Linked DNA regions of Xenopus tropicalis. The protein of the gene in region 7 interacts with the protein of the main gene of each other region in a biochemical or structural test. Links are inferred from orthologs where the notes say so. Each region holds a gene or a part of one and is shown on either strand. Other genes may lie near its edges.

Region 1 (4,137 bases), on a different chromosome or scaffold from region 7:
TAACTGTAGATATTAGTATCACAATAGCCTTGGATATTCTGCTTGTTCAAAAACTCATCCAGGCACCTCTTAAAGGCATTAACAGAGTCTGCCATTACCACATCACTAGGAAGGGCATTCCACAGCCTCACTGCCCTCAACGTGAAAAACCACCTACGCTGCTTCAAATGGAAGCTCCATTCCTCTAATCTAAAGGGGTGACCTCTGGTGCGTTGATTGTTTTTATGGGAAAAAAGAACATCCCCCAACTGCCTATAATCCCCTCTAATTTTGATTATTATATGATTTGAGGAGGGTATACGGCAGGGGGTCTGTTAGCCTTGCTGAAAAACACCCAAACTTGGTTAGCCATTTCCCAATAAGTGCAGCCTGTTTAACTAGGTACAGGATCCAGTCAACAAAATCTGTGGAAATAACCTAAAAATAAAAATCCTTTAAAGACATTACACATTAAAAGATACAGTTTAATAGGGGCAATGTCTGCCAGTTATTTTGAAGTAATAATGTCTCACAGACTGATCTATGCAGACCTTGAGCAGGCTAGAGTGGGTCATAAAAATCACTTGGAGACAGTGGGCCTCCAGTTGGTCTGTCCAGAGCTAGAAAATATGCATAGATATTTAGTAATAAGCCACTTGAAAGTGCCGTGTAATAAATAGCCATCATCCATTGCTGCTTTTTCCTTTACACTCTAGCTCTGCCAGAAGTTTCCCATTGACCTAAATGGGAAATTCCATAAAAATAATGGTGGTGTTAATTATGAACAGGCAGTGTAAAATAAAATTAAAGCCTTTATAAATGTGTCAGTTATTTTACACTGCTTTTTAAAGTGTTTTCAGAAGTAAATAAACAGTCCCTTTGTGTTGCTTTTTTATAGAATGCTAAATATGGTTCTAGCTGCCCAATTCTGTCAGCCAGGGGACATTTGAATGTTACCTGGACCTGACCCTGCTCGGTTGCAACAACAGTTTGGCTTGTTCTAAATATGTGAAATAATTAATTCTGTAAAAGCAGAAAATCAGTTTTTCAACAGACTTAAGCAAAGGGAAATTGTGAACAATACAGTACCTTATCCTTGGTAGCATTGCGGTGGCTGTAAAATGTTACAACTCTCTACATCTGCAGTAAGGGCATTAGTAACTGAACAAAGAGAACTACATTTTAGCTTTAAATTAATGTTTATGTACTAAATTATAAAGATAAAATACCCAGGGAACATACTATTTATTGCTAATCCCCACGGTTTTATAGACAATTACTCATTTCAAACATTTGATTAAACTACAAAATGCTCTATGATGATACTCTCACATAATTCAGTGCGACAGGGCTTAGATTGTAAATGGTATAGAGGCATATTTCATCTGCACCATTTTACAGTACTAAACCCGCATAAAACATGTAAAGTTTGTGGATATTTACCTTAGTGATATAGGAATCATGCAGGAATCATATAAACAAGGTAATATGCCTAGAATTCTCTATGCAGCAAGGAAATGTTATATAGCAAAAATGGAACACAAAGCTATGCCAAGTGCAACACAATACAACCATCTGGTGGCTCATAACCCTTTGGTAGTTGGTCAAGGGGTAGTGAGGTGAACATTTAAGACATGACAGACATGCAAATAAAACCCCAGAATTGTAAAAGGGATGTCTTTACCTGCATGTTCACTGCACAAATGTCACATGGGTGCCATAATCATGGGGTATAGCTATGGGTCTATACACACGGGGGTTTGTACCAGAGCCAGCAGCATTATTGAAATCATGTCTGAAAAGACAGAAAAACAGGGAACAATTTCCCTATGGAGCAATCTACACTGCCACTAGACAATTAGTGCCAAAAAATATAATTTACTTGTACTGAAATGCTCTATAGAAATGTGACCTATTTTTTAGCAATGCTGTGCATGTATAGAATACCCAGCTTGTACACAAGCTATTTTTGAGCTTGGCAATTTGTGTTTGTTCTTGTGTTTGTTCCATTTGCCAATAGAGACATAATACAGCATTTTAGGTCCAGCAAGCATTTTTGCAAGCTGAAGGCAATATAGCTGGCAGGTATAGAAACTTATGTAGAGTACTATGGCAATATCATTTGTTTGTGCCAGTTGAAATCGAATACACTGCATTATACAAAACCCTAACTCACAGTACTACAATGATATAGGACTCCAATGCAGTCTGCAGGGGCTGGCACACATATGGCTCCGCTCCTGTGATTCCTGGCACAGATTACACAAACCCACAGGTGTTGGTCCAATGAATGATAACTTTCATGAATATTTGGAGCATTGCAACTTACCAAACAGTGCCATAGGCTCCTGATCCCACAGCCACCAGGTCTCTGTACCTCTCCTTCACCTCCCAGACGGTCTTATTGACGTCCTGCCTATAGTATCCCTTCTTGGGCAACGGGGAGGTGGACATGGCTACTAGTTGCCAGCAGGCTCCTGTTGCACTAGTACTATGTGAATGTGGGTCCCAGGCAGAGTCACCTGACTGCTGATACTGGGCGGCTCTCCTGAGAGGTACAGTAATGTCACGGTGAGCAGTACTGACTTGTCCTGCTCTTATTCACCATGAGGGACCGGCTGCCTTCTTTACGTAGAACAGTCTCTTCCGACCAGCCCCTCTTTCTGCGTCTTCGCTCTTCGGTCAGCTCTCGCCTTCCACTTTCGTTTTCCTTTTGTCCACTGTGCGTATTTCCCGCACCCTCAGCCTGCACAGTAGCTGCCCAGTGACGGGAAGTATTTCCCATATAGAGCCCGGAGCTTTGTGCCGTCACGTGACCCGGCCAGTCCTTCTCCCCTCCCTTCTCCAGTGCGCAGATTAGTACTTAACCCACTCACTGCTCTAGTCCGACACAGTCCTAAAGTGATTTGGGAAGTTATGTGGCCGGGAATTCGCTCACACGTTCATACGTGTTATGACCCTTCGCTACAAGAAGACGATCTTTGCATTATTTTTCAATGTGAAGCTTTATGACCTCTCTTGGCATGAAGTGCCATTATTCAATTATTATTCAATAACCCACTGCTACTACTAGGCAGTTCAACCTAACAAATTCATTCTTCCCCAATGGGTTTTTATCAGACTCGGTTTACATTATTACTAATGCTTATTTGTAATTATTATTTGTTCGTCTGTGAAATTAGATTACACAGTTGTAATATCTCAATGTGGCTGTAGTCCCAGTGTACCAAATCTAGAACAGGCTTTTGTACCTGTAAATTTAAATTGCCATTATTAAAGGCCCCTGCTGAGCTCCAAATAATCTTGGGGCAAAAGAGCCAACTCAGCCTATTGTTATGCTCCTATAAATGCAACAGACTCTTTTGACACAATTACAAGCTATAAAAGGTCCCATTGTAATATTAAGTAAGGGTGTAGCTTAGTAGCTAAAAGGGTTGTGACCATAATGCTGGCAGCAGGGGCCTAAGGGGACACAAATAATATATTTTCCCATAGAATAACCAAAAATGCAGATTAAATGAGATATTTAGTAACGCCACATGCAAGGGTCAAGGAATATTGGTGAAGGGGTTGGATTAATACTTCCTGGTCAGCAGGGTAATTAAACCATAGCAACCAAATAACAGTCAAAACTCTAAGCCTGACAGCTGCAGAAGAAACTATAGGTTTTAATGACCTATCATTTCCCATTAGGGACCAGGCCCAGCCCCAAGGGAGCATGATATTCTTGGATGCTGTAGTGTAGTTTATACATTATATTCATGTGCAGCACCCTGAACAGACAGGTCCTGCATGCAACTTACACTATTTATATAGTGTTTGAGATGCAAGATTAAGCACGCCTAAACTCATGTGCGATTTGATTCAGCTTTATTTTGCCTGATTGTACCCGCCTGCATCAGGATCTGCATTTTAGCACAGCTGCGTTACAATGTATTTCCTTAAACACAACATGCTGCATTTTTATGCCTTTAACATGCCTTATAATTCAATCAAACAGTTGTCAAAAAATATGTTTTTATTTATTCAAGAAGTTGTGTGTTTATCAAGCTGGGTTCAAATGTGTTCTGTAAAGTTTAGAACTGACAACTCCTATGAATGAATAAGAATCTTCCTATATACTGTTCTTCTTCAGTGACTGCTATGAGATGGAGCATC
Region 2 (4,190 bases), on a different chromosome or scaffold from region 7:
TTGTGTGAACAATTTTTTCTTTGCATTGAAGTAGTAAAATGATACGCTGTTGATGCATACTGTATATTTCATATTACTTTCTACTTTATAGAACTGGTGGTTTTTACCTGCAACAAAGTGTCCATGGGATTCTGTTTTATATAAATAAAATTTAAAGGCATATATTCAAATTTTACACTTAAAATGCAGAATCTACAGAAAAAGATTTCTTCCAAGTGAACCCCAGCACACACACATAGACCCATTCTGACCTATCTATACACTCACAAGCATAACCTATATATACCAACATTAATACTAACTGTAGATATTAGTATCACAATAGCCTTGGATATTATGCTTGTTTAAGAACTCATCCAGGCCCCTCTAAAAGGCATTAACAGAATCTGCCATCACAACATCACTAGGAAGGGCATTCCACAACCTCACTGACCTCACCGTGGTGGTTACCTTTCAAATGAAAGTTCTATTCCTCTAATCTAAAGGGGTGGCCTCTAGTGATGAGCGAATCTGTCCTGTTTTGCTTCACTGGAAAATTATATTTTTTGACACAGGCAACAATTTTTTGACACGGGCAACATTTTTGCCACCCATTTCACAAAATAATTCACCAAAATCGAAACAAGGAAATTCACCACAGATCCATGCCTGGCAAATTATTTCGCTCATCACTAGTGGTCTCTGCTGCAATGATCCTTTTTATGGGAAAAAAAAACTTTTCCTAACTGTCTATAATCCCTGTACTTGTACAGAGTAAATCATGTCCCCTCGCAAGTGCCTTTTTATCCAGAGAAAACAACCCCAACCGTGACAGTCTAACCTCATAGTTTAAATCTTCCATCCCCTTAACCAGTTTAGTTGCACGTCTCTGCACTCTCTCCAGCTCATTAATATCCTTCTTAAGGACTGGAGCCCAAAACTGCACTGCATACTCAAGGTGAGGCCTTACCAGGGACCTATAAAGAGGCAAAATTATGTTTTCATCCCTTGAGTCAATGCCCTTTTTGACTCAATTTATATTATTTCAACCAAAGTACATAACTTTGCACTTTTCAGCATTGAACCTCATGTTCCATTTTGCTGCCCAGTTTTCCAATTTTGCCAAATTACAATGCAAAGTGGCAGCAACCAATATGTACATGTAGATTGCTGCTTTATACAGAAAAAAAACCCAAACCATTTATATAGAAAATGCATGTATTTAACTGATGCTTGCTCTGCTGGAAAAACTCTATTAACTGATGCATTTTGAAAAGAGTATTTCGTTAAACACTAGCCTTGTCTTTTGTTAGCCTTCACCCAAGTTCAACACAGTGTTAGCAGCAATAAGTTCTTTATAAAAATGTTATTTCTTTATTTTTCACTCTTTGTTTTCCATGTTTTAATATCTAGGATCCAAGATTCAAACCAAATCCATATAGAGGAATAACATGAACATTCATGTTTTAAAGGATGTCAGAAGGATTGCTGTTCATCAACATGTTCCTTAATGGAATATACAGAAAGCATGCAATGCTGGTGGCCCTAAGAGACAACTGCCCAAAAACATCAGTGGTTATTCAGCAAGGTACTTCTTTTTGAAGGAAAATCAAAAGTTTAGTCATCTGTGTTTAACCATACTGCTAAGCAAAATTGCTATTTTAGATTTGAATTACCTTTACCTACTTTTAGAAAGCTTGTTTAAATTATGCATTAGAATCTACCAAATTTCTTTAATGAAACAGTGTACAGTGTATAACCTTTAGCAGCACGGACAATTATGCTAAAATATGAAGGAAGTGAAGACTTTTTAACCACGTAAGAAGACAATACTAAGGCATTTTACATTGGGTAGCTGATGTGGGATATGCACCCAGGAAGTAAGTGATTCTGTATGACCGCTGGCTTCTATCTGTAATAGGTAAACCATGAACTACATATTAGCTGATGCAGGATCTATGAATGCAGGTTGGTCTGTTATCTACAACAGATACTTTAGTGTTGTACTGTATATATGTATGTATGTATATCTTTATTTATAAAGTGCTATTTATGTACACAGCACTGTACAGTTGAATAGATTAGCACAAAGTATAACAATAAATACAAGGTACAGTTGCAATAAGTTAAGAATCAAAGATACAAGAGGATAGAGGTCCCTGTCCCATAGGGCTTACAATCTAAATGTGTTGCTGTGATATGTAATGCAGCCATATGTTCTTTAATGATGTTCTGATGTCACAGGAAAATAGAGCAGCCAAAATATCTCACTATAAACTTCAAAATATAACTAGCAGTATACCCAGAGATAGGTTTTAAATAGCAGAAGATCAAGTTCACTGAGATTTCAATATGTTCAGATGTTAAAAATGTCATTTCTAATTTTAGTGTTGATTGGCCAGGAGTATACATTGTTTCATGTCATTATTGTCATGTTATTATTTATTCACTGTAGTTGTTTAATGTCACATAATATAGTATATATTCTACTTTCTTTTCTGCACGGTGTCTCCAATCCTATGTAGTATTTTGTTTGCTGCTTATTTATTTTTTGTACACAGCAGAGAACTCTAAACCTCTCTCCCAGTTGATGCTTTCTGTCTAGAAACAAAGTACTAAATTGAATTGAAACAAGAAAATAAAGAAGAGGAGAAGCGAGACCAGTCAGAATGTTTTGGGTGGTAGGATTAATAAGGTTAGGAGCAAGATAAGGCTATAAGAAAAGACCAGGCTGGTGCATATTTAAAGGTTTAATCACATGATTCAAAAGTGAGCAGGCTGAAGTATATGGAATAAACGGACGTATAGCGATGAAGTCTAAGTTAAAAAATTCCATGGATGCCTTGTCAAGCCTGTAATATCTAACCAGTATTCCTGGTGTAATCACCGCCAGTTATCATGGAAAATGTATAATGGAAAGTTTCTTGCTTAAAGAATCTCCATAGATTCCTTACAGTATCTTGTCCACTGAAAGAGAAAACTCCTTATGTTCCCCACTTTGTGCAAGAATTCCCAGGATTTTTTTTGAAAAGCCTTGCAAAATGTGTTCTGCCCCCCTTCTCCCATGTTGAAGTAAATATTGTAAGGGGATATGATGACTGTTGCAACTTACGTGACAGTAAGTGACAGTGGGAGCACAAGCACCACAGTCAATAAGCAGGAACAACCTTGTGACATTTGTGCTTTGATGAATTAATAATTCTGCAAAAATAATATTTATAGAGAACTCTATGCAGGGCTGGAAATGAGGGTAGGCAGGGTAGACACACAGGGGCACATTTACTAATCCACGGACGTCCGAAAGCTTCCAAATGCGTTTTTTTCATGATGATCTGTATTTTTGCAATTTTTTTTCGTCGCCGTAGCAATGTTTTTGTATTTTGCGCGACTTTTTCATCCCCGTTACGACTTTATTGTATATTTTCTGCGACCTTTTCGTCGCCGTCGTGAAAAATTCGGATTGGTTTTTCCGCCATTTACTATAGTGAAATATGAAAAAATTGTGGCGGCGACGAAAAAGTCGCGCGAAATACGATAAAGTCGCGACGGCGACAAAAAAGTCACGCAAAATACGAAACAATCGCAACGGCGACGAAAAAATCACAAAATTTTTGTTTCCAATCCGATTTTTTCTCATTCGGGATTCGGATTCGAGGATTAGTAAATGTGCCCCACAGAGTAGGGAAATACTAAGGGGGGACGTAATTTGAAAAAAAATTTGACTGGTACCTTTAACTCCTACTGCCAGCAGGTGAGTGAGGGAGTGGATGTGGAGTCACTGGATAAGCAAGTAAAGAGGGAAACTGTTGTAATGGGTGGTATGGGAGTCAGCAGTCAGGGTCAAAAGATACTTGCCAGGTGCCAGTACCTCTTTTCCCATCTGTGATTCTAGTTATCGACCTCTAGCCTGTTACTCACTATCCTGACTGCTGTCTCTCCTGGCCTGTGCTCCAGCTTTACATTATGATTCTGCCACACCATTGGGATCTGGCTTTGTCTGTTCCTTAGTACCAGCTTCAGTATTGTCCCATCTTTTTGGTTCTGGTTGCCTCACAGCCTGGATACCTGGTCAATTGTGTTCAGTGTAACTAGGGGAAATGAAATAGATCTTATTTTGCTACAATGATTCTATTTAGCCAGTTACCTGGCATGGATCATATAATATATAAACATATTTGTTACGCATTAATATTGTTAAAGCGCTAAATAAT
Region 3 (4,181 bases), on a different chromosome or scaffold from region 7:
AAGTACAATGCTACGCTATATACCAGATAAATCCCATGGAACAAGGGCATGACACATTTGGGTATTTCCTTTTCATGACCTTTTTACAATGCTGGACCTTTTCCTGCCAACAAATGCACCATAAGGATTTCAACTTTCTTTTTTAAGGTTAATATTACAATTACTGTCCTGGTCATATCCCAAATCCTGCCCAGGTGGGAGTCCAGATTGCTAACCCATCCGAGCAATGGTCTATAAGGTGAAATTACATTTCCATTTTAAATGTACATTTTAAAATTTACATTTAAATGCTAATATATCTAAAAATTTTAGCCACCTGAGATCTGGTAGGTTTCAGGATGCAAATAATTTTAAAATGAAATATTCCCTAGTTCACCTTCTAAAGTTACCCACTGGAAATGAGATGAGAAATGTGCTTCTTAGGCCACAAAGCTATGTTCAGACACTTCATTTTCTAATTGAATGTCACATGTTTTAGGGGTGCAGGTAACTTAGGTAGTCCTGCCAAAAAATCAAAAACAATCCATGTGTGGATTTACAAAAATCCAGTACTTGCACAGTGTTACATAGCCACACTGTATTTATAGTATGAAAGGATGCATAAATGACAGAAGTAAAACTTTTGACTGAAAATAAAAGATATTAAACCTACATAATGCAAACTACAATTCTAAAGTTAAATTGCAGTTTTGGCTTTTTAATAGTACATAACATAGTAACTGTGCAAGCTAGAAATGTGCAACGTATCACCATAAATCAAAATGTAAAACATTGCTTATATATTTCCTTCCATGAATGCCTACATTAGATCCTGAACTGGGCTGGGTGTGGTGAAGTCCTTCAAAAGCCTGGGTTACTAATGTAAACAGTACTCCACTCCAGCCTACTGAAGGATTTTGATTACCCAGGCACATCATGTACAGTAAGTGACTGACTCTCAATGCTTATGTTGGGCATCAGGGCTAGTTCCTACAATGCTTTGTGAATCTCTATCTTTGTGGGTCCGTTAATCACAGAGTGTGCAAGACATTGTAGGAATTGGTTTCACAGATGAAGGTGCTGACTACTGTAACATTGTTTCAATGATACATGTAGCAAGAATCGGACATGCAGAGAATAGCAAAAAAACAGCAAAATACAGCATTGAATAGTAAATATGCTTGACATAATTAAAAATGTGTCAGGATTGTGGAAAGTTTCTTAAAATTCAATTTGATTTAATTTGTGCAAAAAGTTATAGTTGCATTTACAACCCCTTTAAGTTTACTAGAACAGAAATCTAAGGCCAAATGTTTGCTATGTGCTATAGTTCAATCATGCACACGTAGCTGCATACTTTTCCTATTCCTCAGTTCCACTGCTAACATTAACCTTGTAGGTTTCCCTGTTCAAGATCTGATAAACAGGGTGTGGCTATGAAAGGCTGAATGCTGGCCAATATGTTTGCATTCCCCCAATTAATTGTCAGTACATCCTGTGTCTAAGCCAATTTTTGTTGTTGTTCATTCTGGATACAGTTTTCAATCTGAAATAGTTTTTATTTGAATTATATTTTTATACTCCTCCATATATATGTACAGCCTTTCAGTGAACATGTGCACTTTCCACCTATAAATCTCTGTTTTAAAATACCTCACACTCCCTGGGATTTATGTCAACTAAGTGTGAAAGCCACTGTTGAATAAACATCTGAACACATGTGAGTGTCAAATAGGCTGGTGAAGCGTGCTTATAATGTATTTAGTATATCTGTACCGTATATGTGATCCTACGAGATTTGGGACGTATTTCTAGCACTTACCATGCTATGCATTGCATGAACTTTATTCAAGTCACAAGTTCACAAGAGTAAAATGAGAGCGGTGTACTTGTAAGAGATTTACTCTTCCCCACAGCTGTTAATTTTTCTCCCCCTATTACAGTTCATCTGAATGCATTCACTATGTATGAGCAGTAAATTTAAGATAGCCATGAAAGTGCTATAGTACATTTTTCAGCCTTATATAGCATGCTTAGTGAACTTGTAAATAAACTAAACATTGAATGGTTTATAAATTACTATGCTGATCTACTTCCATAATGAAGCTGAGTGAGGCATGGCAGCTGAAACAGTATCTTATGGGAAAGCAATGCAGTCGCTTCCATTTACAGCTGTAATGACCTGCCCCATTACACAAATGGCATAAAGAGCTGTCAGAAAATTGGATACTACACAAAGGCATGGGAAGTCCCTTTTATAGTTATATATACAGCCAGCGTGTATTTTTTCTGCCGATAAAACACATTTTTTTATCAGCAGTTTATTTTTCTTATTATTACTTTTATTGTAAATATTTTTCAATCACAAATACTGTGATTTCTGGGCTGCACATAAAACCCAAAAGGCTTTAAAAGATCTTTAAATGATTACTGCAAATGTTGCTGCATTAGTAAGCGAAATGTCAGAATGACTTAAGTAGTATTGCACTACAGCAGACACTTGTAACTGGAAGCTTTGCTGCTAAATATCTTACACAGTTCATATCACAATAAAGCCAGATTTATTATTTTTAAGTTCCCACACTGAAGTAAAGAAACTAATATTGACATTACCGGATCTGTTCTTGATCATATCAGTGAACTCATCCGCAGCAGAATCTCCTCTGGGCTCCTCTTGATATCCACTTTCAGCCATAATGTACAGAAGCTCTCACTGACGGGCCTCAAAGCTGCAGAATAAACACCCAAAGTTTTTGGTAGTCTTACTTCTCTCTCAGCAAAGCAAGTTACTCTAGAGAGTTAGGTAACGTGTTATTCCCACTAAAGCAGACAGCCTTTTAAAACTGCAAATAGTGTCTGCATTGGAACAGGAGAATAAACTGTCAACCCCACAGATCAGAGAAAACAGGTGCTGATCTCTGTTCTTCCTTAAAATAGAACTAGCCCCGTATAAACTACAAGAACATGAATGTGGAGTAGTGAATATTAAACCTGACACACTATAAATCAGCATCAACTTGTTGATTCTTGAAACTGTTTCCGTAGCTTTGCACAATCAATACAAAGACCCATAAAATACCAAATTACCAAACTATACTCAGAGGGAAAACATAATTTAGTTATATCTCACTTAGTTGCTTGCAGCTGAAATATCATGAGTCTGTGTTCAATATATACTGTATTCCACAAGGGTGGAAAGGATGCCAAAAATGTCAATCTCTTTAGCCAATGCAGTTTGTTTTGCAGTTATGTCTAATAATGTGCAATCATTTTCTAGATGCAGAAAAGAAAAACAAAAAAACAGATCAAGTGCTGCTCAGTAATTAGTAAGGGTTGTTCCTTGCTTACATAAGTAGGGGCAGACCGTCACCTTCAAATGTTCAGTTGGAAACTTTTTTAAAGATCAAAAAGCTTAGATGTGTGTGCTGTTTTATTTTTAGCAGCCCATTGTACTGGAGACAGAAGAAAGGTTCAGTAGGGAAATTGCCTTCATTAATTGTATTGATGAAAAAAGTCCAAATACAGCGCAGCACTGGTCACTAGCAATAAGCAATTTTTTGCAGACGAATTTCCTCATTTTGCCTTTAGATAATACTTTGCAAAAGTACCGCAAATATTTGCAGCAAACATTTTTTTGCTGTGAAAAAGTCACCTTTTCTACACAGAAAAGTCACTGCGGAAAAACGCCACTAGACTCCAATGTTTTCTGCATGGAAAAAATAGCTGTGAAAAAGGTTGCAGCAAGAAATCCGTTTCATGAATTTTCTCATTAGTAGTGGTCTAGTTTTTTTTTTTAACTTGGTTTAGTCATAATTGAATATACTGTATCTGACAGACAATAGTCTCCCATGACACCCATTTTAGTGGCAGACAGCACCGTGGGTACAGTATGTTAAAGCTCTAGGCTTTTGCTAGATATGGTGAATATATACAAGGATAACAATGCAGAGTAACTCCTTTTTTCCAGCTTGTATAACTACTATTTACCTCTCCTTCTTCTCCTAAATATGCAGGAGATATAACATAATGCAGCACTCTGCAGAAGTTGTCATGTTCCAGAGACTGACGAAAAGGAATGAAAAGAATGAAAAAGAATTCACAGGAAGCTGATGTCATTATAAATCTAAAGGACTCAATGGAAAGCATTCTAGGCCTGATGCCATTTGATCCTGTGGAATGATACTATATAACCTTTGTAATTA
Region 4 (4,212 bases), on a different chromosome or scaffold from region 7:
CTTGGTATGAAACCTCAGAGAGCGAAAATAGGATGCTGTGTTACATAAGATGAGAGAAGTGTAGAGAAGCTGTTAGGGTCCCCCAGCACTGATTTCTTTGCATGTTCTGAATACCCCACTCCACCCAGATGTTAGGTGAAATATGATAAGAGTGTTAATAACATCTCAAAAAGGGGACATTTTAGAGAAAATGCTATGGAATTTATAGGGTTCCAGGGTGATTATGGAAAGAACTGATAGCAAAACAGTCTTGCGGGGAGCCACTTTTACTATAAATAGGGCTACATAAACTGTAACATTCCTGCTATGAAACTACCTTATTGGAAAACAAAACGTGACAGAATATTATCTGGCGCACACAAGTCAGAATCTCATTGTTCCATTCATTTTCAATAAGCTGGAAAAATAAATAAATGAATAAAAAATGTTAGAGAATATCCCCATTGACTTCTATACAAGCTTGTCAGTTTTATTTGCCGAGTTCTCTTCTGGCAACTTTTTGCAGTTACTTCTTTAATAAATCCCGATCATTGGAGGTTTCAGAAAATGAAATGTCAGCTTTTCTTCTCTGTGTTTTTCTTGAATCGAAAAAAAACCAAACTTTTTTTTTGCTAAATTAGCCCCCTAGTGTTCCCAGCTACCTGCAAAGCAGCCTACATGCAATAGACTCACATGTAGATATATACATATATTATAAAAAGTACTCCTTATAGAGCATGAAGTATACTGTATTGCATTATAATTAGAAACTGACATAAACACTGCAGGCAGAACTCATTCATAACCCAGAGTATGGCGTATAGTATATCTGTCCCACTGCACTCACCAGTTGCACGTCAACCCAATCTCAGAAGAAAATCCTCCTGCACTTTGTTTGGTCCTGCTTGTATGGTGGCATCTATGTTTACGCAGCCAGAATAAGATTATGGATAGACAAGGCAATGTAAAATACAGATCTGGAAGAAAAACATGGCAGGTACTTTGAAAATGCAGATTGTATGTGGATTGTATCTCCACCTTAATTGTGAGAATATACTAAATTGTGCCCACTGCAACTTTTCCACCAATATGTATGTATATTATCATCTGTTTTGGTAAACTGGTGTTATGCAGCAGATCATTTTTCCTGCATTTGTGTTCAAATGGTTCCACTTCTGGTATATGGCATAAATAACAGCATTAGCATCTAATTCACTTGGAGCAAATCGATTGCAACTGTTGACCACGGCGGTATTTAGGTGTTTCCCTAGGCACTATCTCCCCCCCCTCACTGACTGGTGCATGCACAGGACAGATCATGCAGCCGTTTTTAGCTGCAGCAGGCTGTGTGTGTAGAATGTTTTTTTTTAAAGTGTAGTTCATATATATATATATATATATATATATATAATTTATATTATACATGTATGCATTGTACTTATATTTATATATAGCTGTCTATATATTTAGATCTCTAGACATATATAGAAATACAACCCTACTATTGATGCAACCCAATAAGGGAACTCTGTAGTTACTAGCGAGTCCAGGATGACAGTAATTCTAGGTTTCCCATGTGTCAATGAAGGCACTTGCATGTAATTCATCAGTGCAGACTGAAGGAGTTTAAATTGCAAATGAACATGTTTAAAAACAAGTACCTTTCTGAATAAGGTAAATGGGTTTTCAATTAGGTGACTGTTTTAGAGCTCATAAACATCATGTCTCAAACGTCTATTAGTTCAGAGAGATTTGAGGAACCAACCTCCACTTTTAGGTTTATTTTTTTTCCTCCCATCTTTCCTTACCCTTTGGTATTGGCTGTGTAGCTCTTCTTCCTTTTATACATAGAAGGATGCAGTTTTAAAACAGAAGATGCTTTATAGTGGAGGATGCCACAGTATACATATTAGATTTACTGTTTTAGTAAGTGTGCCAAGGTGTGAAACCCAACAGTGTTTTACTATTTATAGCATGTCTTACTGGTATTTAGGATCAAATTGTGATATGATAAATCATATGTGCCAAGCCAAAGGTTTGCAACTATCTAATTACTTTTCTTTCTCTCTTGAAGTAGGTACAGCATTGTGTCCACTGATGAAGAAGGCCTTCGCATGCCATCTTTGGGGGCCAATGGTAACTGGACCTCTTCTCTCCACCATCCCCATTCACGGCGAAAACGGCGCAACCGATTTGTAAAAAAGAATGGTCAGTGTAATGTCTACTTTGCTAACCTTAGCAACAAGTCCCAGCGTTACATGGCAGATATCTTCACCACATGTGTAGATACCCGTTGGCGTTACATGCTGCTCATCTTTTCTGCCACCTTCTTGGCCTCCTGGCTATTTTTTGCCTTTCTTTTCTGGTGCATTGCTTTTCTGCATGGGGATCTGGGCACTAGCAGTGGAGTGATAGCCGGGGGTAGGCAAGGACCACCAAAACCATGTCTGATGCATGTCAACAGTTTTGTGGAGGCATTTCTCTTTTCTGTAGAAACACAGACTACTATAGGCTATGGATTTCGCTGTGTAACAGATGAATGCCCATTAGCCATTCTTGCTGTGGTGGCTCAGTCAATACTTGGCTGCCTGATTGACTCTTTCATGATTGGAACAATTATGGCTAAAATGGCTCGACCCAAAAAAAGGGCACAAACATTGCTATTCAGTCACCATGCTGTCATTGCACTAAGAGACGGTAAGCTGTGCTTAATGTGGAGGGTAGGTAACCTTCGTAAAAGCCACATTGTGGAAGCTCATGTGCGGGCACAACTGATTCGACCCTATGTTACCCAAGAAGGTGAATATCTTCCCGTGGATCAACGAGACCTAAATGTAGGATATGACAGTGGCTTAGACCGCATCTTTTTAGTCTCTCCTATTATTATTGTTCATGAGATTGATGAGGAAAGCCCACTCTATACAATGGGTAAAGAGCAGCTAGAGGGAGAAGACTTTGAGATTGTTGTCATTTTGGAAGGTATGGTGGAAGCCACAGCTATGACCACTCAAGCCCGCAGCTCCTATCTAGCTAGTGAGATACGCTGGGGACATCGATTTGAGCCTGTAGTATTTGAGGAGAAAAATCACTACAAAGTGGATTATTCCCATTTCCATAAGACATACCAAGTTCCAGGTACTCCTGTTTGCAGTGCCCGTGAACTACATGAAAGTCGCATTACTGTATTACCCTCTCCGAGCGCCTTCTGCTATGAGAATGAACTAGCACTTTTGAGCCAAGAAGAAGATGAAGATGAGGAAGCAGCTGGTGGCATGCCAGATGAAGGAGTTTTACATGTCATGGGAAGTCACATGGAGCTAGACCGTCTCCAAGCATCAATGGCATTAGATAATATTTCCTATAGGAGGGAGTCAGCCATATGATGCCAGAGATCATTTATGAAAGCTTCCTTACCAGTGTTGGCATGGCTTTCTTATGTCTATGCCATGCAGAGTGTTTTAATAAATTTGTCTGTCTGCAGACTACAACCCTATGAAGCCCTACAAATGTCTGTTCTGAACATATTCCACAAAGTTTGTTCGGTCTTTACAAACAGAAGGTAAATGTGCTGTTTGCAAAAGCCGAGACAATAATGTTCCTGGTGGTCAAATAGTAAGACAACGTGAGAAAGGTCACATATTGAGGACCTGCGGGCTGTTAAACATTGTATTGAAATATTTTGTACAAGTATGAACTATAAATAAATCTTGACTATGTGCTCTTCCAAATTCCACATTTTATACCATTCAGTTTCTTACTAAACATAATTCTGTGCTTAGCTTAGCAGACAAAACTCACATTGTTCTGCCTTTACAAAAACATCTGAAGAAACAGCAACCTGAAGAAAAAATAATTGTAACAAACATGAAGCTATTTATTTGCTGTTAAACCACATCTCCCATCATCCTGTGCATAAGAGGCAGGAAGTAATTGACCATCCAAAGTCTCAGGCCAACGTAATTGTTTCTTTAAAAATAATTTTCTCTTTGCCTGACACTAGAAAAAGGTATAATCATACTTTCTTCCCATATTATTGATGAATAAATAGAATGTACAAAAAATAAATATTTTATAGCTAATTATGGGGAGAATGACAGTTCATCTATGTCAGTAATTAGCAGTATGTCTGTGGTACACCAGGTTTCTTACCTGCATGTAAAATCCATATGGTTTGCTTGAGCAAAAACACCCACTGGAGTAGATGCTGGGAGGGGTCCCATCTTCAGACCCAAG
Region 5 (3,500 bases), on a different chromosome or scaffold from region 7:
AATGGAGGTACGGGGCAGCTGGTTCATTTTTAAAACTGCACAGTAAAGTCAGCATAATTAAGTGTAGCTTAAGTGGAACGAGAATAACATTTTTAGGATTGTTTTTCTCGCTCGATATCTCCTATATTTGTGCTAATCTCATACTGAGGAATTTAGAAAAAGAAAATAAACTGAGAACTTATTTCTTAAAAAAGACTAGTTATCGGAGCACTCTAATGAGTTTAGATATATCAGTGCAGAAACATTGCTTTCTATAAAAATCTATCATTTTAAAATTCTTTAGTCTACCCTTTCTATGCTTGATATGTTAGACATGATGTATATCCGATTACAGAGTATTCCACACATAAGAATTTAGCTCCTTAGCTATTAGGAAAAGCACAAATCGCGTTGCGGTATCAAGATAGGAATCTACAGCAAACCGCTGTTTTCTAAAATTCTTTTGATGTGGAATTCTTTGAAGAATAGACATTTTTGTAAAAAATAAGCAAACGAGTAAACAATGTCATTTTACTGGGTGCCAGGTATTTCTGAAGACACAGCAGTCGTGTACGGCAAAATGCATGCTGTTCTCTTTTCATGGTTTCTGCTTTATATTAAATAAGCATCATGTACCCCTCTCTACTGCAGACTGTCACACTGCAATATTATTATCTATGGATGGACAACTCTCTTTAGAAAAAAAAAAAAAACGAAGCCAGAGAACAGGCACTGCTATTCTTGTAGCATCTGATCTGGTCCCAAGTTTGTAGGTTCTTACAACAGGAAGCCACTATATTTCACACCTAATCAGAAAACTGGCTGTCACATTTCTGATTAGATTTGCATATTTCATTTGTTTTATCACTGCACTCTTCAATGCATAAATAGACTCTGAGAAAGTTCCAAAAATATATTTCACTATTTCACACATCAGTTTCCAGAATTTTTAAATTCACACAGTTATACTTAATGGTCTCGTTGCCATTCCCTGTCCCCTCACTAGCCTTGTCTTTTATACAGAGAGACTCTTTGAGCCCTTCCTCCATTTCTAAGTATTCAGACTTGTCCTGTAGAGAGGAAGAAGTGGAGCTCCTCAACTTTTTCAGCAGGTTGGTGGGTAAGTATGGGCAACTGGAGCTGCTTTGTGTCAACTGTGTTTGTTCTTCATTGTCAGTTTCCCTGTGGTAGAAATAGTTAAAGTTTGAAACTATCACTGGCACTGGTAGTGCAATAGTCAATACCCCTGCTATGGCACACAGGGAGCCTACTATCTTACCCCCCACAGTAATGGGTTTCATATCCCCATAACCCACTGTGGTCATTGTAACAACAGCCCACCAGAAGGCATCAGGGATACTGTGAAAGTGGGTTGTGGGTTCATCGGCCTCTGCAAAGTAAACAGCACTTGAGAACAGAATGACCCCAATGAAAAGAAAGAAGATGAGTAATCCCAGTTCCCTCATGCTGGCTCTCAAGGTGTGACCAAGTATCTGCAGCCCCTTGGAATGCCTGGACAGTTTGAAGATGCGGAAGACCCTAACCAGGCGAATGATCCTCAGAATGGCAAAGGACATGGCCTGTTGTTGCTGCCCAGTCCCCTGGGGAAGTTGTTGCCCTGTGCCTAGAGCAAGGTGCTGCTGTTGAGGGGGATGCTGCTGCCCAAGCTCGGTACCCAGGGTGATAAAGTAAGGCAGAATGGACACAATGTCTATTATGTTCATTATGTCTTTAAAAAATCCAGGCTTGCTTGGGCAGGCAAAAAGGCGCACAGCAAACTCGAAGGAGAACCAGACTATGCACACAGTCTCCACTATAAAAAATGGGTCATTAAACGCAGTGTGGTCTGTCAATAAAAAAGTTGCATTGTATGCCCCGCCCTCTCCATCCTCCCCTGTACCATCATCCCCCATCCCCAGCGGAGACAGCAAACTATCCTTATCGTCCCTGAACTCGGGTAACGTCTCCAAACAAAAGATAACAATGGAGATAAGAATGACCAGCACGGAAACGATGGCGATGCCCCGGGCTGGACCCGAGCTCTCCGGGTACTCAAACAGCAGCCACACTTGTTTCTTGAACTCATTTTCCGGCAGCTGCTTTTCTTCCTCTTTAACGAAACCTTCATCCTCGCGGTATTTTAGCAACGCCTCCTCGCCCAATTCGTAAAACTTGACCTCCTCTGAAAAGATGTCGAAGGGCACGTTGACCGGCCGCTTCAGCCGTCCCCCGGATTGGTAGTAGTACAGGATGGCGTCGAAACTGGGACGGTTTCGGTCGAAAAAGTACTCGTTCCTCAGCGGGTCGAAGTAGCGCATCCTTTTCTCCGGGTCGCCGAGCAGCGTCTCGGGGAACTGGGTCAAAGTTTTTAACTGGGTCTCGAAGCGCAGCCCGGACACATTGATCACCACCCTCTCGCAGCACTCAAACTCACTGTACACAGGGTGATAGCCATCCTCCTTGGGGCTTCTCCTCCTGTGCAGGCTGCCAGCCTCATCCTCATCATCCTCACATAAGTAAAACTTTTGGTCCTCCTCCTCTGACACCTCTTCTTTGAGCATCATCTCCTCAGAGCCACATGGCCCCAGCTCCGAGGGGAAGGTGCCTTCCTCTTCTCCTCCTGCTCTTCCTCCTCCAGCGCCTCCGCTGCATTCGCTGTGCCGGCTCCTCCACCTGTTGCAGCCGCTTAGTGGCCAGTACCTCCGCCTGGCACTTCTCTTTCTCTGCGCTGACTTCTCCTCCTGCTGCTCTTGGCTCTGGGGTGCGCGCCGCGCGTTCCCGCCAGCCCCGCTGTTCCCCTGAGTGGCGGGGGCGCGCCCAGCCCCTTGACAAGCGCCGCCCCCTGAGTTCCCTCCTTCTCCAGCTGCGGCGGCGGCGGCTGCGGCTCGGGAGTGCGCCAGGCGTTCCCGTTCGCGGGCCCGCGCTTGGGCATAGCCGTAAGGCAAGTGGCTGCTACAGCCGGAGCTATCCGCACTCACCATGGCAACCTCCATCTCTGCTGTTGCTGCTCACGGCTTACTGTGCGGCGGGGAGACTGCTGAGTGCTCTGTACCACCCTGCCATGGTGGCTCCCCCAAGGCAATAAACTTATTCAAAATAAATTCAGTGATTTTTAGTTCATTATTACTCATGCAAGGTCATAAAAAAATAAGAATGCAAACACCCTCATGGTCTCAGGGGTAATTCCCCCCCCCTCTGCGAGTAAGGAGTCAGCGCAGGGAGCTCTGTGCGGGCGGAACCAACTGGCCAGAGAAGGGGGGTGCGGGCAGAGAGTAAATGTGCCAGTTTGTAGGGGGGGCCGCTGCCCATAAACCATAGAAATAAAGGTTAAAAATGTGTGGTTGAGCTGCTTTAAAGCAATATTGTGCTGTAGGAAATAGGAGCCAGTGAGTAGATAGGCAGGTTATGTCAGAGTTCAGCCAGATAGCTCTCCAGGTAATTGTTCTAGAAGCAACAACAAGTTTGCAGGGGGGGTTGCTGCCCAAAAACCATAGAAATAAAGGTTAAAAATATGTGTTTGA
Region 6 (4,204 bases), on a different chromosome or scaffold from region 7:
AGAAAAAAGTGTGGTAATAAAAATATATAACAGGATAGATTTTCATAAACAGCGAATATAAAGAATATAAAAATGAATAATTAGGGTGATTATAATGCTGCTAAGGGTAAAGATTGTGGTGTATAGGAAAAACAAAAGAGGAATGCCATTTTGTTATTTAGAACAGAGAAAATATTTACATTTATACTGATTAGAGTGCTGTTATGTTGAGTGAAATATTCTGTTAAGTAAAGAAAATAGGATACTTTTATGTAAGCTTATTTTGTAAGCAAACGAGTTGTTACATGGGTAAATAATAAGAAAGGGATATGGTGCCATAATGTAGGCTTAATACAATGTTTGCTGTTTATGGTATTGTACTGATATTTAACCTGAATTTTTATGGCGCTGGTATTGAAAATGAGCATACTTTATAATGCTTTTTTTATAGTGATTGCTGCATTTAAGGGAATTTAGTGCTGTTAATTAGGAAGATTGTGTTATTATTTAGGCTAAATATGGTGCTGGTGAAAAGGTTGCTGTTATGTAGAGTAAACATTAATTGAGTTGATAATATATATATAGGACCAATGGGACCTTTTGTTTGGTTTTGTTGTTTTTTTTGAAAGAAAATACATTAAATAAAAACTATAACTTAACATTTTCAGAAAAATGAAAGAAAAAGTAAGCTCTCCAATACACATTAAAATGTTCAGTGGTTTTAAAGTTATTTTTCAATGTAATTGTTATTCAAAGCAATGTTCATTTGCACTGCTAGTTCTAAGTTCATCAGCAGAAGCTAGCTCTCCTCCAGACAAGACTTCAATTCCCACCATGCTTTTTCACAGGTCTGTTAATCAGCTGGCTTCTGCTGCACAATAAAGAGTCTAAACCACCAGTAAAATACATTTTTAAAAAACGTTTTAAATATTTAACTAATGTATACTTTACCATAAATTGGGTGCTGTAAGGGGTTAATATGAGGATATGGTGTTGGCATTTAAGGTAAATTGGGTGCTGCTTTCAGTGTAAATAATTAGGGGGTGTTGTGATAGTATGTAGGGTTAATATGTGTTGTTAAATATAAGAATGTTGTGATGTATTTAGGGTAGTCCTATGTGGTACTGCTCCATTATTCTAAAGCCCAAACAGGAATTTTAAATACTGTTCAGAAAATCACAGTCACCCTTAAATGTCTGAACTGTACTTGGTTTATTTAAATAGGTATATAATCCTAGTAAAAGGGTGGGGTGTAAAGTAAATTATGTTTTACAATTTTATGGGAACTGGAAATTTGCTGGTGTTAACACTGTTCCTTGATTCTACAAATTGTTTCCCTGAATAATAATATATAATAAATAATAATCTTAAAAGCTCAGAATCGATTATCCATCTCTTGACCACAAATGGAAAATACATGTTTTGATGTTACACAAGTGAAAAGAATAAGTAAATTGCCAGCTTGACATTTTATAAATCAATGAAAAAGTGAAGGGCTGCCATTAGCGTCTCTGGGTTGTGTGAATGTACAGCAGGGTGCGGTGCAGAGAGGATTACAGCTTTGGGTTTGTATGTGCAATTCAGTAAAACATGATTCCCAAAATAAAAAAAAACCAGATTGTATGATGTACCCCATGCTATCTTAATACACAAACTTCTGTTACAAGTACATCTATCTATCTATCTATCTATCTATCTATCTGTCTCTCTGTATGTCTTTTCATCTTTTTATCATTTATTGTATTTATCACTTAAAGTGCTTTATTTTGCTACAGTTCTTCTACAATCTCTAGATAAGTACAGTATTACCTATCCTGCTATTTTTTACACTGTTGCCACCATTTCTGGAAATAAATACATGCCTTTAATTATCTCTAATAACTTTTACAAGGTCCCTGTATGGTTTGCATCTGATATACAAGCAGGTTAAAAATGCTGAAGAAAAAAAAAGATGCTTAGTTATTGTCAGTGGTGGAAAAAACATACAAAACCTACTGATAAATCCTAAAACAAAATGATAGTTTTTCCTTAGCAATGGATTTGCTTATAAGGTAATTATACACAGTCTGGCGCAATATAACAAAGTTATATTCCTGGCCAATACATTTCTGCAGGTTTCTACAGAGGCGCAAGATAACACAGGTTTTTTTTTACCAGAATTATTATTTCATCCTGTGAGATGTTCCATTTAGCAAAGTGTCCCGAAAAGGCAATTATACTTAACTCACAGATCTTTGTGGAAAGGAATTATTTAATATGTATATATTCAGCACCTTTAGCTAGATGGCATGTGCAATAATGTGTACGTGCAATAATTTAAGAAAGTCGGGTCACTTTATGTTTAAACTACTGTAGTGTCTGCTAGCTAAGTAATATCATTTTACATATTTCATTGTAAAAATATGTTAGATTAATTATTTAAATATAATGCCATAAAGTCAAAATGAAAAGAGACAGTCCCTGTGGAATATTTGTTTTGAAAATGAATATTTTACACATTGCAGGGAAATGAAATAAAAATAGCGACAAGAGAACTATAGTATCTGCTAGGGAAATAGGACTTACCTGGATTCAGAGAATGCCCATGAAGAGTGCTTTTGGTTAGATAAAGCTGCAGTGGCAGTGATTTCAGTCGGGGAAGCTGCAGACACTAGCCATGCATGCCTGGCACCGCTAGGGCTGGCCTTGCAACAGAAGGTGAATGTGGGAATATTAAAGGTTTGAATCTCTCAGAGATCTTCCTTTCTGTCTCTCTGCTCAGGGAGAGGCACAGTCATCTGTTCAGAGTGAGGATCCTTCAGCTGCTGAGGCAGAACTTGTAGCAGGGGCAGGTACAGCTTCAGGGTGTCATGATCCCTCCCTTCTCCTTTCCAAAACCCCCCTGCTCCTCTAGATATTAACTAGCCATTTCACACTTTAGATGCAGAATCTTTTGCCCACCCCCCCAACAAGACTTAGGATCACAATTTTCAGCAAAAAATAATTAAAAAGGGTTTTTTTATTGGTAAATAGTAAACATGTAGTGGTGTCTCAATTAAGGGTAAAAGATGTAATATGTCAGAGGATGTACAGTCTTTAGCAATATACATTTGTAAAGTAAGCTAGCAGTTAAAGGTATGCATTTAGGGCATGTATCCATGGGTCCTTTTTTATTCACTGGACTGCAGCTAAATTACCAGTGCCCATTACTGGGGTATGACCAGTGTTTAAAATTACCCAGATAAGTGACAATATACAGTATAATATCCTGAATATTCTATCCATATAAAGAGTAATGTCATCAGTTATAATTTGTTCTTAGTGATTTAATTTCTGTCACCTGAAATTTGTGTATTATATAAAATGTTATATCCCCTGTTCTAAAATAAGAAGTTATAAGTCACTTTGAGGTTTTGTGACCCGTATATGCACTTGGCTTTCAGTGTGATGCATTTATATGGTCATGGAACGTCTTGGTGACTTATAATATCCAACTGTTGCAGAGTTGCAATAACTTTTTATCAGCATACACTGGTGTGGAGCCAGAGCAGCCGAGCACCTGATAATGTGAGAGATCTTTTGGTGCATACCTTCTGTTGAATGCTCACCATTCTGCAGAACTTCTTATATTTTTTTTCTTTTTGGTTTTATTTTCCCTCTTCACAATCAAGTGAGAGAGACTGTGCATATCTATATATATATATATATATACATTCCAATTGACAATGCGCACTCCTCATCCTTTATAATTCATAAAGTACGAGTTCAAGTGCATTTTTTTTGTGCGGTACTCTCTCTCTCTCTCTCTCTCGCTCTATATATATATATATATATATATATATATATATATATATATATATATATAGTATCACTAGGTCCGCACACTCCCATTACTCACTTTACTCCATATCCAATTCAAGGGTGCTGCACATGGTTGTAGCTCATATTCATTCCAACTGACAATGCGCACTCCTCATCCTTTATAATTCATTTATTGTTGCATTAAAAACATCAACGTTTCGGTCCAGGTCTAGGACCTTTATCAAGATGTTAAACAGCACTCCTAGGATTCAAAGAATTATGAACAAAATGCAAAATTACTTGAGTAATAACCTTTCTATTTTTGCATTTACATTTTGTTCACAATTCTGTAGGTCCTAGGAGTGCTGTACGAGTTTGAGTGCATTTTTTTTGGTACTAGCACCCAGGTTTTGTTGTTGTTAATGTTGTGCACCCATATATATAA
Region 7 (3,500 bases):
GTTAGATTTTTGCCCAAGTGAGCAGCCATTAATGCTGAGCAGGTTTGGTCATTTCTTTCTGCATTTCAGGTCTATAACATTAAAGTAGGATTGAGCAGGTATTCATAAAATGTTTAAACTCTAAAGCAATAATGTTTTATTATTGTACTAGATACATAAAAGGGGGTTTAGCTTGTAGCCCTACACCTGTTGTCTAGCCTGTGACCACCCAGCTGTTATTTTCCAACAGGTACAGGACCCTCCAACACCCCTGATTTATTATTTCCTCTCTAGATGTGGCTTAACCTTCAACCAAAACTCATAATGGGTTTACATCGGTTATTAGTAAATGGATCCCACAGTGTCAGATTGGAAATTGGCCGGTGTAAGTACAAAATAAGCACTTTCACTCCGTGTCTCTGCTCCCCTTGCAGTGATGCCTCCCACGTTCCCCTCCCAGATTCCCTGGAATGTGCACAGTCCCCTCAACAGCTGTGCGGGAACCATGAAAAGCAGGAAAAAATTCTTGTTCAACAGAAGAAATGGGGAAGAGTTAAACTGAAGCAGTATGTTTATCTATACACTGGCACCCAATAACTAGTAACTAACCCAAATGTTATTCTGTAACTGGCACAGCCGTTCTTATAACTCTGTCTCACAGTGCTAATTATACCCACTTCATATAGATTCGACTGGAAGCCCAGTCTGTACCTATAACTCCTCCTATTACTCCATATACCCCTCCCTATAACTCCTCCTATTGCTCCATATACCCCTCCCTATAACTCCTCCTATTGCTCCATATACCCCTCCCTATAACTCCTCCTATTGCTCAATATACCCCTCCCTATAACTCCTCCTATTGCTCCATATACCCCTCCCTATAATTCCTTCTACTGCTCCATATACCCCTCCCTATAACTCCTCCTATTGCTCCATATACCCCTCCCTATAACTCCTCTTATTGCTCCATATACCCCTCCCTATAACTCCTCCTATTGCTCCATATACCCCTCCCTATACCTCCTCATATTGCTCTATATAACCCTCCCTATAACTCCTCCTATTGCTCCATATACCCCTCCCTATAACTCCTCCTATTGCTCCATATACCCCTCCCTATAACTCCTCCTATTGCTCCATATACCCCTCCCTATACCTCCTCATATTGCTCCATATAAACCTCCCTATAACTCCTCCTATTGCTCCATATACCCCTCCCTATAACTCCTCCTATTGCTCCATATACCCCTCCCTATAACTCCTCATATTGCTCCATATAAACCTCCCTTTATTACTCACCTTCCAGCACCACCTCCTTTCCAGTCTTCTTCAGAGCCTGCACAGCATCATCATGAGTAGCCTCTGACAGGTCTACCCCATTAACAGACAGGATTGCATCCCCCACATATAATGACCCTGTCAAGTCAGCAGCCAGGCCTTTGAAAATCTTGGAGATGAGGATGGGCATCTTGTTCTCCCGGCCACCTTGTAAACAAAAAGATGTCGATTAATCTATTGGTATGGAACTGTTCCTTCAATACATAACTTAAACTAGAGGAAAAAAATCATCCAATCCTAGATAAATGGTATGGCAGTGACACGTTGCACCCCAATACACGTAAGGCGTGTATACAGGCAATGGCTACTCCTTGGGCCATACTCTATGGAGAGTGCAATGCAATGGGGCACAAAGCAGCCTGTACTTTATGCCAGTTGCATGTTGGCTAATGTTACATACTGAAGTTCTGATTGAGTTTTCATTTACATGTATAGAAGCATCTGCAAAAAATAATATTCCTTTTCCAGTCACACTTTCATCTGTTTCTAATTCTGCATTTCTAAAATGTAAGAAACAGACATTTTCAGATGACTCCACAAACTCCAGGGAAATAGCAGCCCAGTTCAACCTTTGCCAAAGAATTTATTTTCTCTGTAATACTCTAGCCTAAAGCGTAAATGGTCTTAAAGGGCTACTGTACCCTTATTTGTTTTAATGCTGAATTGTGCTTAGTACAGGGGAATATCTATACAGGAACTGAGCCCATAAACATGGCACTGCCATTAGTACACTTTGGGCCTAGGGGGGACTGAGCCCATAAACATGGCACTGCCATTAGTACACTTTGGGCCTAGGGGGGACTGAGCCCATAAACATGGCACTGCCATTAGTACACTTTGGGCCTAGGGGGGACTGAGCCCATAAACATGGCACTGCCATTAGTACACTTTGGGCCTAGGGGGGACTGAGCCCATAAACATGGCACTGCCATTAGTACACTTTGGGCCTAGGGGGGACCGAGCCCATAAACATGGCACTGCCATTAGTACACTTTGGGCCTAGGGGGGACTGAGCCCATAAACATGTCACTGCCATTAGTACACTTTGGGCCTAGGGGGGACTGAGCCCATAAACATGGCACTGCCATTAGTACACTTTGGGCCTAGGGGGGACTGAGCCCATAAACATGGCACTGCCATTAGTACACTTTGGGCCTAGGGGGGACTGAGCCCATAAACATGGCACTGCCATTAGTACACTTTGGGCCTAGGGGGGACTGAGCCCATAAACATGGCACTGCCATTAGTACACTTTGGGCCTAGGGGGGACTGAGCCCATAAACATGACACTGCAATTAGTACACTTTGGGCCTAGGGGGGACTGAGCCCATAAACATGGCACTGCCATTAGTACACTTTGGGCCTAGGGGGGGCTGAGCCCATAAACATGGCACTGCTATTAGTACACTTTGGGCCTAGGGGGGACTGAGCCCATAAACATGTCACTGCCGTTAGAAAAGTTTGGACCTAAAGCTTGCTATGCAAACCAGTAGATCTGTGCCTGATTTGGCCACCATCCCAACAATGTGACCCTAAATAGCGCCTCAGGGGACCTGCTGGGAGAGAACGGTATCAATATGCCAATGCAGTCATCACCTGATTTTTTAACCAGCTGATCTGCAGGCAGATATTGGTTGGGCAGGTTTTCATTCACCATTCACAGGCCAATACATTTTTCCTGCAACTCTCTGCCCCAGGATACTGTGAGTCCTTGATCATTTCCTACAAGCGGCTGACCCTTTAGAAAGACAGCAACAGGCTTCAGCTAAATCTGACATGCAAGCCGCTGCTATTTTAGGATTAGCAGTTATGTGACAGAGTAAGGCTGAGTGAGCAGCCCGCCACAAACGGAGTCCGGACCCTCCATTTTTCCAACAAAAACATTCAGCGTTCAGACTTTGCCTATAATGCCAATGCAATAAAACCAGAACAAAATTAATTTCAAGCTTAACTTCCCCTTTAAAAGTCTTAAGAAGTTCCAAAATGCAAGATTCCTATAATATTCTGGTACATGAATATACACTATATCATGTCCCTTAAATTTCCCACGCTCCTTTGTGCTGCAGGGAGAGTAGGTGTTGGGGGGCAGGGAGGAAAGGCAGTCCCGGCAGTGTCCCCCCTCCCAAACAAACCAATATAACAGCATGGGACATTCCTCAGCCAATAAGAGAGAGGGAGAT

What was found.
Region 1: of the proteins of snta1 (region 7) and mapk12, one has a biochemical effect on the other in vitro, tested with the Homo sapiens proteins (2 studies listed by BioGRID and IntAct, with this or other methods). The link is inferred for Xenopus tropicalis from reciprocal best matches to the Homo sapiens genes SNTA1 and MAPK12.
Region 2: the proteins of snta1 (region 7) and htr2c interact in a test that uses a peptide from one of them, tested with the Homo sapiens proteins (2 studies listed by BioGRID and IntAct). The link is inferred for Xenopus tropicalis from reciprocal best matches to the Homo sapiens genes SNTA1 and HTR2C.
Region 3: the proteins of snta1 (region 7) and dmd.3 form a complex in vitro, tested with the Homo sapiens proteins (2 studies listed by BioGRID, with this or other methods). The link is inferred for Xenopus tropicalis from reciprocal best matches to the Homo sapiens genes SNTA1 and DMD.
Region 4: the proteins of snta1 (region 7) and kcnj4 interact in a test that uses a peptide from one of them, tested with the Homo sapiens proteins (2 studies listed by BioGRID and IntAct). The link is inferred for Xenopus tropicalis from reciprocal best matches to the Homo sapiens genes SNTA1 and KCNJ4.
Region 5: the proteins of snta1 (region 7) and kcna4 interact in a test that uses a peptide from one of them, tested with the Homo sapiens proteins (2 studies listed by BioGRID and IntAct). The link is inferred for Xenopus tropicalis from reciprocal best matches to the Homo sapiens genes SNTA1 and KCNA4.
Region 6: the proteins of snta1 (region 7) and slc6a3 interact in a test that uses a peptide from one of them, tested with the Homo sapiens proteins (2 studies listed by BioGRID and IntAct). The link is inferred for Xenopus tropicalis from reciprocal best matches to the Homo sapiens genes SNTA1 and SLC6A3.

Annotation. Positions count from the first base shown.
Region 1 is NC_030679.2:71,612,563-71,616,699, reverse strand, and holds the start of mapk12 (mitogen-activated protein kinase 12), read right to left. Parts: upstream 2,801-4,137; 5' UTR 2,434-2,800; coding exon 2,309-2,433; intron 1,775-2,308; exon of another isoform or gene 1,664-1,774; intron 1-1,663. UniProt on the Homo sapiens protein: Serine/threonine kinase which acts as an essential component of the MAP kinase signal transduction pathway.
Region 2 is NC_030684.2:66,128,631-66,132,820, forward strand, and holds the start of htr2c (5-hydroxytryptamine receptor 2A), read left to right. Parts: upstream 1-1,390; 5' UTR 1,391-1,567; intron 1,568-4,190. UniProt on the Homo sapiens protein: G-protein coupled receptor for 5-hydroxytryptamine (serotonin).
Region 3 is NC_030678.2:107,315,154-107,319,334, reverse strand, and holds the start of dmd.3 (dystrophin), read right to left. Parts: upstream 2,801-4,181; 5' UTR 2,675-2,800; coding exon 2,593-2,674; intron 1-2,592. UniProt on the Homo sapiens protein: Anchors the extracellular matrix to the cytoskeleton via F-actin. Ligand for dystroglycan.
Region 4 is NC_030680.2:122,426,484-122,430,695, reverse strand, and holds the end of kcnj4 (inward rectifier potassium channel 4), read left to right. Parts: intron 1-826; exon of another isoform or gene 827-956; intron 957-2,053; coding exon 2,054-3,362; 3' UTR 3,363-3,712; downstream 3,713-4,212. UniProt on the Homo sapiens protein: Inward rectifier potassium channels are characterized by a greater tendency to allow potassium to flow into the cell rather than out of it.
Region 5 is NC_030680.2:19,914,104-19,917,603, reverse strand, and holds part of kcna4 (potassium voltage-gated channel subfamily A member 4), read right to left. Parts: 5' UTR 2,973-3,500; coding exon 906-2,972; 3' UTR 1-905. UniProt on the Homo sapiens protein: Voltage-gated potassium channel that mediates transmembrane potassium transport in excitable membranes. Forms tetrameric potassium-selective channels through which potassium ions pass in accordance with their electrochemical gradient.
Region 6 is NC_030682.2:78,452,512-78,456,715, reverse strand, and holds the start of slc6a3 (sodium-dependent dopamine transporter), read right to left. Parts: upstream 2,801-4,204; 5' UTR 2,545-2,800; intron 1-2,544. UniProt on the Homo sapiens protein: Mediates sodium- and chloride-dependent transport of dopamine. Also mediates sodium- and chloride-dependent transport of norepinephrine (also known as noradrenaline). Regulator of light-dependent retinal hyaloid vessel regression, downstream of OPN5 signaling.
Region 7 is NC_030686.2:41,872,652-41,876,151, reverse strand, and holds part of snta1 (alpha-1-syntrophin), read right to left. Parts: intron 1,468-3,500; coding exon 1,282-1,467; intron 1-1,281. UniProt on the Homo sapiens protein: Adapter protein that binds to and probably organizes the subcellular localization of a variety of membrane proteins. May link various receptors to the actin cytoskeleton and the extracellular matrix via the dystrophin glycoprotein complex.